2 linked regions of the Schizosaccharomyces pombe genome follow. The protein of the gene in region 1 purifies or fractionates together with the protein of each later gene. This does not show direct contact. Each region holds a gene or a part of one and is shown in the gene's direction. Other genes may lie near its edges. The genes, in order: dms1 and SPOM_SPBC16A3.12C.

What was found.
Region 2: the proteins of dms1 (region 1) and SPOM_SPBC16A3.12C purify together in Schizosaccharomyces pombe (affinity purification with mass spectrometry, with the first as the bait; one study listed by BioGRID). This does not show direct contact.

What each region holds. Positions count from the first base shown.
Region 1 is NC_003421.2:2,032,385-2,036,604, reverse strand, and holds dms1 (protein Dms1), read left to right. Parts: upstream 1-2,206; 5' UTR 2,207-2,598; coding exon 2,599-2,673; exon of another isoform or gene 2,674-2,730; coding exon 2,731-3,008; exon of another isoform or gene 3,009-3,059; coding exon 3,060-3,255; exon of another isoform or gene 3,256-3,297; coding exon 3,298-3,573; 3' UTR 3,574-3,720; downstream 3,721-4,220. Other genes in the region: histone lysine methyltransferase Set5, read right to left, coding at 1-844; helicase Hrr1, read right to left, coding at 3,820-3,866, 3,915-4,067, 4,110-4,220.
Region 2 is NC_003423.3:4,273,583-4,277,888, forward strand, and holds SPOM_SPBC16A3.12C (triglyceride lipase-cholesterol esterase), read left to right. Parts: upstream 1-1,652; 5' UTR 1,653-1,674; coding exon 1,675-1,706; intron 1,707-1,756; coding exon 1,757-2,180; intron 2,181-2,332; coding exon 2,333-2,720; intron 2,721-2,767; coding exon 2,768-3,117; intron 3,118-3,168; coding exon 3,169-3,306; 3' UTR 3,307-3,390; downstream 3,391-4,306. Other genes in the region: meu7 (alpha-amylase 4), read right to left, coding at 1-1,083; mitotic cohesin N-acetyltransferase/DNA polymerase eta Eso1 fusion protein, read right to left, coding at 3,391-4,306. UniProt on the Schizosaccharomyces pombe protein: Probable lipase.

The sequences.
Region 1 (4,220 bases):
CAAGAGCATGACTTCGTGGGTTCTCTACATACTTGGAAATTTTCAAATATTTTTCAGAATCAGTTCCTTCATACAAACTAATTGCTTTAGTCCCCTTTTTTGCAAAAATACTGGCTCTCTCAAAATCACCGTGGATGACACATAATCGGAAGGCATCCAGAAGTGCAATTATATCTAACCGACCGAAAAGAAGCTCTTCGTGGGCAATGTGTATCCTATGTCTCAATGCTCTTAGAGCACCTCTTGGATTAACTATACACATTTTTGCCATGGTTCGGTCATAGTAGGCCAGTTGCTTTCTCCTTAAATCGCTGATTTTCCTAATCTTTCGTTCCTCTACAGAGCAAACACTACAATAACATTTAAATCCAAAATGCTCGAGCAATATTTTTTGTCTTTCCGTATGTGATTTATGTAAGTCTATATATGTCGTAAGTATTTCCTCGCCAGCCTCGATGTCGCGAACAGCATGAACCGTAACCTGATCAAGTCTAGGATTCCACGTATGTTTCACGTTAGGACTACAATCGTGATTCATTCGAGAACCAAGTAAAAACATTCCACCCTTTGTCTCATCAATGGTCAGCGCATTGGAATAAAATGGCCCAAGGAATGGTCCCATAGTGTCTGGATGAGCGTTGAAAAGTCTATGAAAAGCTTCCTGTTCTTCTTTTGTTTTTGTAGACAGTGCTTCCTCGATTTCCTTAGCGTCACTTTTTGTCCTTATCAAAGGCGTTTCTGCAAAAATTCTTGTACCGACGGGGATTTTTACTTTTGCAATCATACCCATTCCTTTGTTAGGAATGGGGACAACTTTATAAATCTCTGTTTCATACGGGTTCATGTAGTACGATTAAGCAATACATTAACGCATGGACGCTTAAAGTTTTCAAAGTTTGGAGATTTTGGTGGTTACGAAATACGCTGCAAAAAATAGAGAAAAAGAATCCAATATATATGGATAAAGCTGAAAATAGTTCTTTACTATTTACTCCAATATTTCTTTTTCTTTTATTGTACTTTTAACCCCAATTGGTTATATCACAATTTGTTTTTCCCAAGAGATCTGTCAATTTTCAAAAAAAAAAAAAAAAGAAAAGGAATATAATTCGAATTTCAAAATGTTCAGAGTGTTATGGCATTTTAAATATATTCCTAAATTTATTATTAATTATAGCAATTTGTTTATATTTTATTGTCAAGGATCTTGAATTAATCATAAACTTTGTCATCATATTTTTTTATAAAATCCTTCGTACAAGAAAAATGTAGATTGGCAATTGACGAAACAAAAGCTCCATTTCTTACCGTATCAAAGATATCAAAACACGTAATTAAAATGGTTTAAAAAATCCTTCAAACGATGGTTTAGCATTACCAAAAAATATAATCGCAAGTTTGTGATTAAGCTTAGATTGAAATCCTAGAATTTATTGGTATGTTGATACCTGAAACAGCTTCTGCATTACATTATTATTATTATTTTTTAGATTTAAAAAATAAATGTCAAACTATCATGAAAAAGTACCTAAAATGAAATAAAAGGATGCGCATTATTCGATATGCATGTGGAATTGGTATACTAAAACTTAGAGAATTACTGAACTCAAGAGCAAAATCTTGCTATGGCCAGTTCTTCATAACACAGTACTTTATATGTAGATATTGTTTGAAACGAAAATTGTAAATGTCACTTCGGTTAATGTAAGTTAAATCACTTAAAAGAAACTGTACCAGAGTTTTTGAGATTTAGGATTTGAAGGGTAAACTAGAAATAATTTGATTTATTATAATATTCGGCATTTCCGTACCTTGTCAATGTGTGAATTATGTGCATAGGTATTTCGTAGGGTGAACAAAATGAAACTTGACCAATGTGCCCCATTTCAGACCTTGACAAAATGAATGAAAGTTTTAAGATCAGAGATACTTTTTCACTATAAAATTCTTCATGTCAAGGATTATTATAATCTCACTCTTTCTTACTCGGCGTCGATGATTTTCGGTTCAATAAAAAAAAACAAATTGTTGATTAAAAAGGAATAATAAAAAAGAACGAATCTTATTCTAACTCGCCTACATTTGTTATTATTTACCTACTTTTTTTCTGATATTTACTACTACATGCCCTTTTCAATAATTTGGTAACTCAAGTCACATGTTACTTCGATAACTTTTATGAAATTGTCTTCGTTCATCTTCAACCATTAGTCCCTTACGACTTAGTTGATGAATTTTACTTGAAGTTTACGATACTATTTAATTAGTAAATTTTTCAATCAATAGGAAAAACAAGAAGTTTTCTTATGGAAATGATAATATAGTTACAACTTGACTGACGGCATACTCCTTTCTGTATAAAAAACATAGTTAAGGTCTATTGATAGAATTTTTAATGTGTTTATGATAATATTTTTATTTATTAAAGCGAAATCGAGTTATTAACTTCCTTTTTTGTTCTGATTCACTGTTCTTTTGCATCTAAAATTAAATTTCTTTAAACTCCTTTCGCCGGAAGAAATTCAATCCCTTCGAGAACTATTTGCTTTCAAATCAAAATTTATTTTTGAAAATTTATTAAGTTTCACTTGTTGCAGTATGAATTCCGTTCCTAATGAATTGACGAAAAGCCAAGAGTTGTTTGGACAGATCTCCAAGATATCCCATTCGAAGGTAAGTTAAATCATTTCTATAGAAGCATCTTGTTTTCCTCTCTAACAATGGTTGCAGATTTCCATTTCCGAACTTATCACTCTCCTTGACATTCATTATAGTGAGCTGTTTACGAAAAACCCTTGGATGAAAAAAGAAGTCCGAAAGTTGGCTTCGGAATTTGTGGAGAATGATCCCAATCACCTTTTATCGAAACAGGACGCTTGTCATCTTATTGAAGCATTCGTAAACGTTTCTATCACTTCTCCTACATTACTTACCTCAGTGGATCCTGTTCTCTACCAGCAATTAGAGGCTTCAAGCACAAACGATATTTCCACTGTTTTCGAGGATGAGTATGTGATTGTATCTTTATCTTCGTTTACGTACTAACCCTGTTGATACAGAAGTTCCAGTTTGCCTATCATTTTACATCCAAAATTTTCTTCAATGCAAGTACGTACCGTTACTTCCCCTAAGGATGCATTTGTATCAGCCTTTGAGGAGAATAAGTTTCATTTCGCTGCCACGGAGTCCTTTTTTGAGATGGCTTTCTCCAAAATCGATTCATGTCTAACCTCCGTTCAATCTACTAAGAAAGATGTAAGAGCTAAAAAACTGATTCGTCAATTACTAATCTACCAGTCTATTAAATCCCGACTTGTTGAACGCTATATCCAAAATGAAGAATCTGTAAAGCGCCCGGACAAATCTCCATTTGACACAATGACGGAAGCAACTCTGCAAAGTTCTTCAGACAAAAGTGAAAATTTTACAAAGACATTACTGTCGAATGTTTTATCCACAATCCTGTCTGTTCAAGTTATTTTTGCAACAGTCATAGCCCTAATTGCTATATCTGTCTTTTGCTTCCTTCATACTTCTTCAAAAACGACATCCTCAAAAACTCGTCCATCATAATCGTTATACTTTCGGCTGTTCACTTAAATCATCCTGTGTCAAATTCTAGATATTTTTAAGCTATTGAAAAGCCTGTCGTGTTGTATCTTTATCGCGCTATTTGTCGAACTCAGTTCGTGAATATTATTTTCATTAAATCCCTTCTAATGCTTGTCAATATATTAAATGTGACTATTGACAAAAGTTTGTAAAAAAAAGTAGAAACCCTATAAATTTAAGTAAAAGTATAAATATATTAAAACCTCATTATTTCCTTGTCAATCGCATATTAACGTCAAGCAATTCAACAGGATCTACAGAGTGAGTCAGAAAATTAAACTGAAACTGCTTGCTTTTCTTACCATTTACATAAATTGTACCATCTTTGGTAAACAAAGGTAGGTGATCTCCTAGACCTTGTATTGTTTCATCATTCATGAGGGTATTTATTGCGTCCCACCACAAGGGATTCGACTCCGCAACAAGTTGCGCATTTCCAAATATAAACAATCCTCCTGATAATATGTTAATAATTCCTTTCATAAAATCTCACTTACTCCTAGCTCTAGATAAAGAAACACAAACGCGATGTGGGGAGGAAAGAAATCCGACCTCTGTCCGGTCATTGTTGCGCACAAGAGAAAGAAGAACGACATCATTCTCTTCCC
Region 2 (4,306 bases), on another chromosome or scaffold:
GTGGTCAGGCTTGGTTCCATTATGAGGAACTGGGCGAGAGAACTTATCATGATGGCATGAGCAGTGTTCCTCGTGCTTCCATGGCTTGTGATCGGGCTTGGTTCCATTGTGGGGAACTGGACGAGGGAACCTACCGTGATGGCAGTGTTCCTCGTGCTTCCAGGGTTTATGGTCAGGCTTGGTTCCATTGTGAGGAATTGGACGGGGAAACTTACCGTGATGGCAGTGTTCCTCGTGCTTCCAGGGTTTATGATCAGGCTTGGTTCCATTATGAGGAACTGGACGAGGGAACTTATCATGATGGCATGAGCAGTGTTCCTCGTGCTTCCAGGGTTTATGGTCAGGCTTGGTTCCATTATGAGGAACTGGACGAGGGAACTTATCATGATGGCATGAGCAGTGTTCCTCGTGCTTCCAAGGCTTGTGGTCAGGCTTGGTTCCATTATGAGGAACTGGGCGAGGGAACTTACCGTGATGGCAGTGTTCCTCGTGCTTCCAGGGTTTATGGTCAGGCTTGGTTCCATTGTGAGGAACTGGGCGAGGGAACTTGTCGTGATGGCATGAGCAATGTTCCTTGCATTTGTGATCAATATGAGTTTTATCGAAATACGTATTCTTGAAATAATCGTCTTCAAAATATTCCGAAATTGTGTGATTTATGGCAACATCTACCATCAAATACATGCCTTTGCCGTGCAAAGCATCTGAAAGCTCTTTTAAGTCCTCTTCGTTCCCGAAGTGAGGATTAAGACGGTAATAATTTTTAGGTCTATGCCCGTGGTAGGCTTCCCCATGATATTCCGGGCCTTCAAGTTGTTCAACGACTGGAGAAATAGAAATCGCTGTGAAACCCAAATCTCGAATATAGTCAAGATGATCAACAATACCTTGCCAATTTCCTCCACAGTACTTTTCAGCTTTCACATCGCAATGAGGTACGACCTTGCTGGTAGCAAACCTATCGGTCATAACATTATAAACGGATTGCTTTTTCCATTCCTCGGCAGATAATGCCTGGACCGGGGGAGCAACGCCCAACACGAGAATGATTGACAATGCGAGATCCTTCAATGACAATTTCATTTCGTGTAGTGAGTTGTTCCGGTGAAGATACAGGGAACTTTTGCCAAGTATATATAGTATTTTTAGGCGTAAACAAAAGGACTGCTCAGAGAGCTATATTTGATAAACAAATAAACGAACTATTTCATAATATGGAAGCTTATTTCTGTAAACAAATAAAATTCATGATTTGATATGTCGGCGTAAATAAACATTCTATTTTTGAATATAAACCGTAACTTAAATTACTATGTATGGATGTTTGCATTGTGCGACCACAACATTAGTTTAATGGTAACACTGCATAATGCCGCAGAATGATCAGCCTCATTGTTAAGATCAGGAAAGTTAAATAAAAAGGATAACAATTAAAAATGTTTATTTACGAGTAGTTCAACCCTTATGTAAAATACTTGTTTTGTATTTAAATTTAGATCAATTCATTGAAATAAATGATTAAAGCTATTGATTGATGTAAAGAAAAAGAAACAAAGTCGATTTATTCAAGTTATATTTGATATTGACGTTTTGTAAAATTAATCATATTTTCGTATGCCATGGTGTTGTTGTTGATCAGCCTATTTTTTACCAACAATCGAATTTTTTGGTAGTATGTCAGGATTCAATAAAAATCAAATATATTGGTACGTAAACAATCCTCTTCAAAAGATTCATTGTTTTTAACGTGAAAAAGGGGAGACTATGTTGGCGTAATTGCAGCTTTCGTCGGTGTGTATACCGAATTAGTAGCACGAATATTTATTTACATGATACCTGAGCGAGTCAGGGAATGGTTTCGTGTACGTATAATTGTTCTGTATCATTACTACATAAGCTCTAAAACTACGGATGGAATGACCGATGCGGTTCAAAAGTGTCGAAACATTTATGAAATATGCGAAGCCTTTGGGTATCGGGTTGAAGAACACCTTGTGCGAACTCAAGACAACTTTATACTATGTCTACATAGAATTACACATCCTAAGCAAAGCCAACATAAGCGTGAAGTAGTTTATTGTCACCATGGGCTCATGACAAATTCTGAATTATGGGTTGCAGTTAATGAATCCGAGAGAAGTCTTCCTTTTGTTTTAATTGAATCTGGATATGATGTTTGGGTAAGTTATTTGCTTGCCAGATCAAGACTCTATCCCGAGCTATTGTTGAAGACGCGTAAAGAAAAGCTATTGATTTAACAAATATGAGAAGGGCAAATGTTTACATTAGATTTTCGTAGGATATATTTGGCGTTGACTAACAATACATTTAGTTGGGCAACAATCGAGGAAACAAGTATAGCAGGAAACACATTACTTACAAACCGAAGGACGAAGAATTTTGGAACTTCTCGTTAGATGATATGGCCATGTTTGATATTCCCGATACTGTTGATTACATCTTGAGGGAAACAGGAAGAGAAAAACTAAACTATATTGGCTTTTCTCAAGGAACTGCTCAAGCAATGGCTGCACTTAGCATTAATCCGGATTTGAATGACAAAGTAAATATTTTCATAGGGTTAGCGCCTGCTTATGCTCCCAAAGGCTTTTCAAATTACTTCGTTGACTATATTGTCAAAGTTAATCCAAAAATTATGTATCATCTTTTTGGGCGCCGTTGTCTTTTACCTTCAGTCACTTTTTGGCAAAATATATGTTGTATGTTTCTTTTTTTTAAATTTCAACTTCATCTGCTTACTCTACAGATCCCCCAATTTTTGTAAAAATTGTCGATGTATCCCTTAAAATTTTATTCAACTGGGACCTATCCAACATTTCTCTTAATCAAAAACTTTGCGGTTATGCACATCTTTACTCTTTTTCAAGTGTAAAGAGTGTTGTTCACTGGCTTCAGATTATAAAAAACTGTACTTTCCAGCTTTATGACGACGATATGGCTCTTCTAGCTGGATATGGTTCACGCCATTACCAAGTTCCTCTGTTTCCTACGAATAATATCAAATGCCCAATGCTGATACTATGGGGAGGTAAAGATACTTTGATCAATATGGAAGTAATGAGAACTGCTCTTCCTCCCCATGCAAAGGAAGTTTCGGTAAGCCTTTTATTTTATAGGTTTGTTGCTCAATATGCTAATATAAGTTAGATTGCTCATTATGAACATCTTGACTTTCTATGGGGCCAGGATGTTAAAGAGGAAGTGTTCCCAGTTGTAATAGATGCCCTTAAGCATCATTCATTAGGCAAAGCCAAACATTTCGTTAAACAAAACGGTTTTCATTAATGATTAATTAATAATTTAAAAAAAAAACTTCTATATAACGCTTAGATAGATATTTAGAACAACTTTAATTTTGTCAGACTATTTTCAACTTTCATAAACAGCATATCGAAGTGACTTCGAAGAACCATTGTTTCGAGAACGATGCCACGAAATAATGAACTGTTTACCACTTTCACTAGGCTGACTAAAAGCAACTTCTGCAGGCGATATAACGTAACCGTAAATGAATTTTTTTAAAGCATTGTCTAATAGTAAACTTGCTATCCCTTGTTTGCGTCTTGAAGCTGATACCCAAATCCTGGAAATACCCAATACAAACCCCTTTCGTAGATTTTCGTTTTTTATATATACTGCGGAAGAGGTGCTATTGTTGTTGTTGAGTTCAAGTTCATCGACTATGTATGCAGAAGATATACGCTCTGCCAGAAGTAATCCGACACATTTCTTATCTGATATGAATAGAAATGTGGTATATTTATCTACCCCAATTGTTTCAATAGGCTCACTTGAAAGTTCGTTATTTACGAAAGATAAAGCTTCCTCTGCTTTTCTTTGATCAATTAATGAGCTTTCTGAATTTATGCTGTATATGCAATCGGAACTCAAACCATAGTTAACGCGATAAATAGGAGAGCATTGAAAGGACACAGTAACACCTCCTAGAACCCGAGAATGAAACCTAGAATGAAGCAAAATATCTTCTTCGCTCGTTGAATTGTACTCCATAGAACATTCTGAACAAGTTACGGTGGAATTAGCCAAATCTAAGTGTAACTGGGTCATGTTGTCTGAGCTGTTGGAAATTGCTTTTGGCGTTTGCTTTTTCCAATTTGGTGTCAGATTTCCACCGTTTCCTAAAAATGCGTCCAAAAATGCTCTTTTGTTGTTTGTTTCATCGGATAAAGGTGCATAATGCTTGCTACCGGTTTTCCTTCCATATGTTTTAGGCTTTACTTGCTTAGGTTTATCATGGGATGGCGGTACTAAGTTATTATAGCGT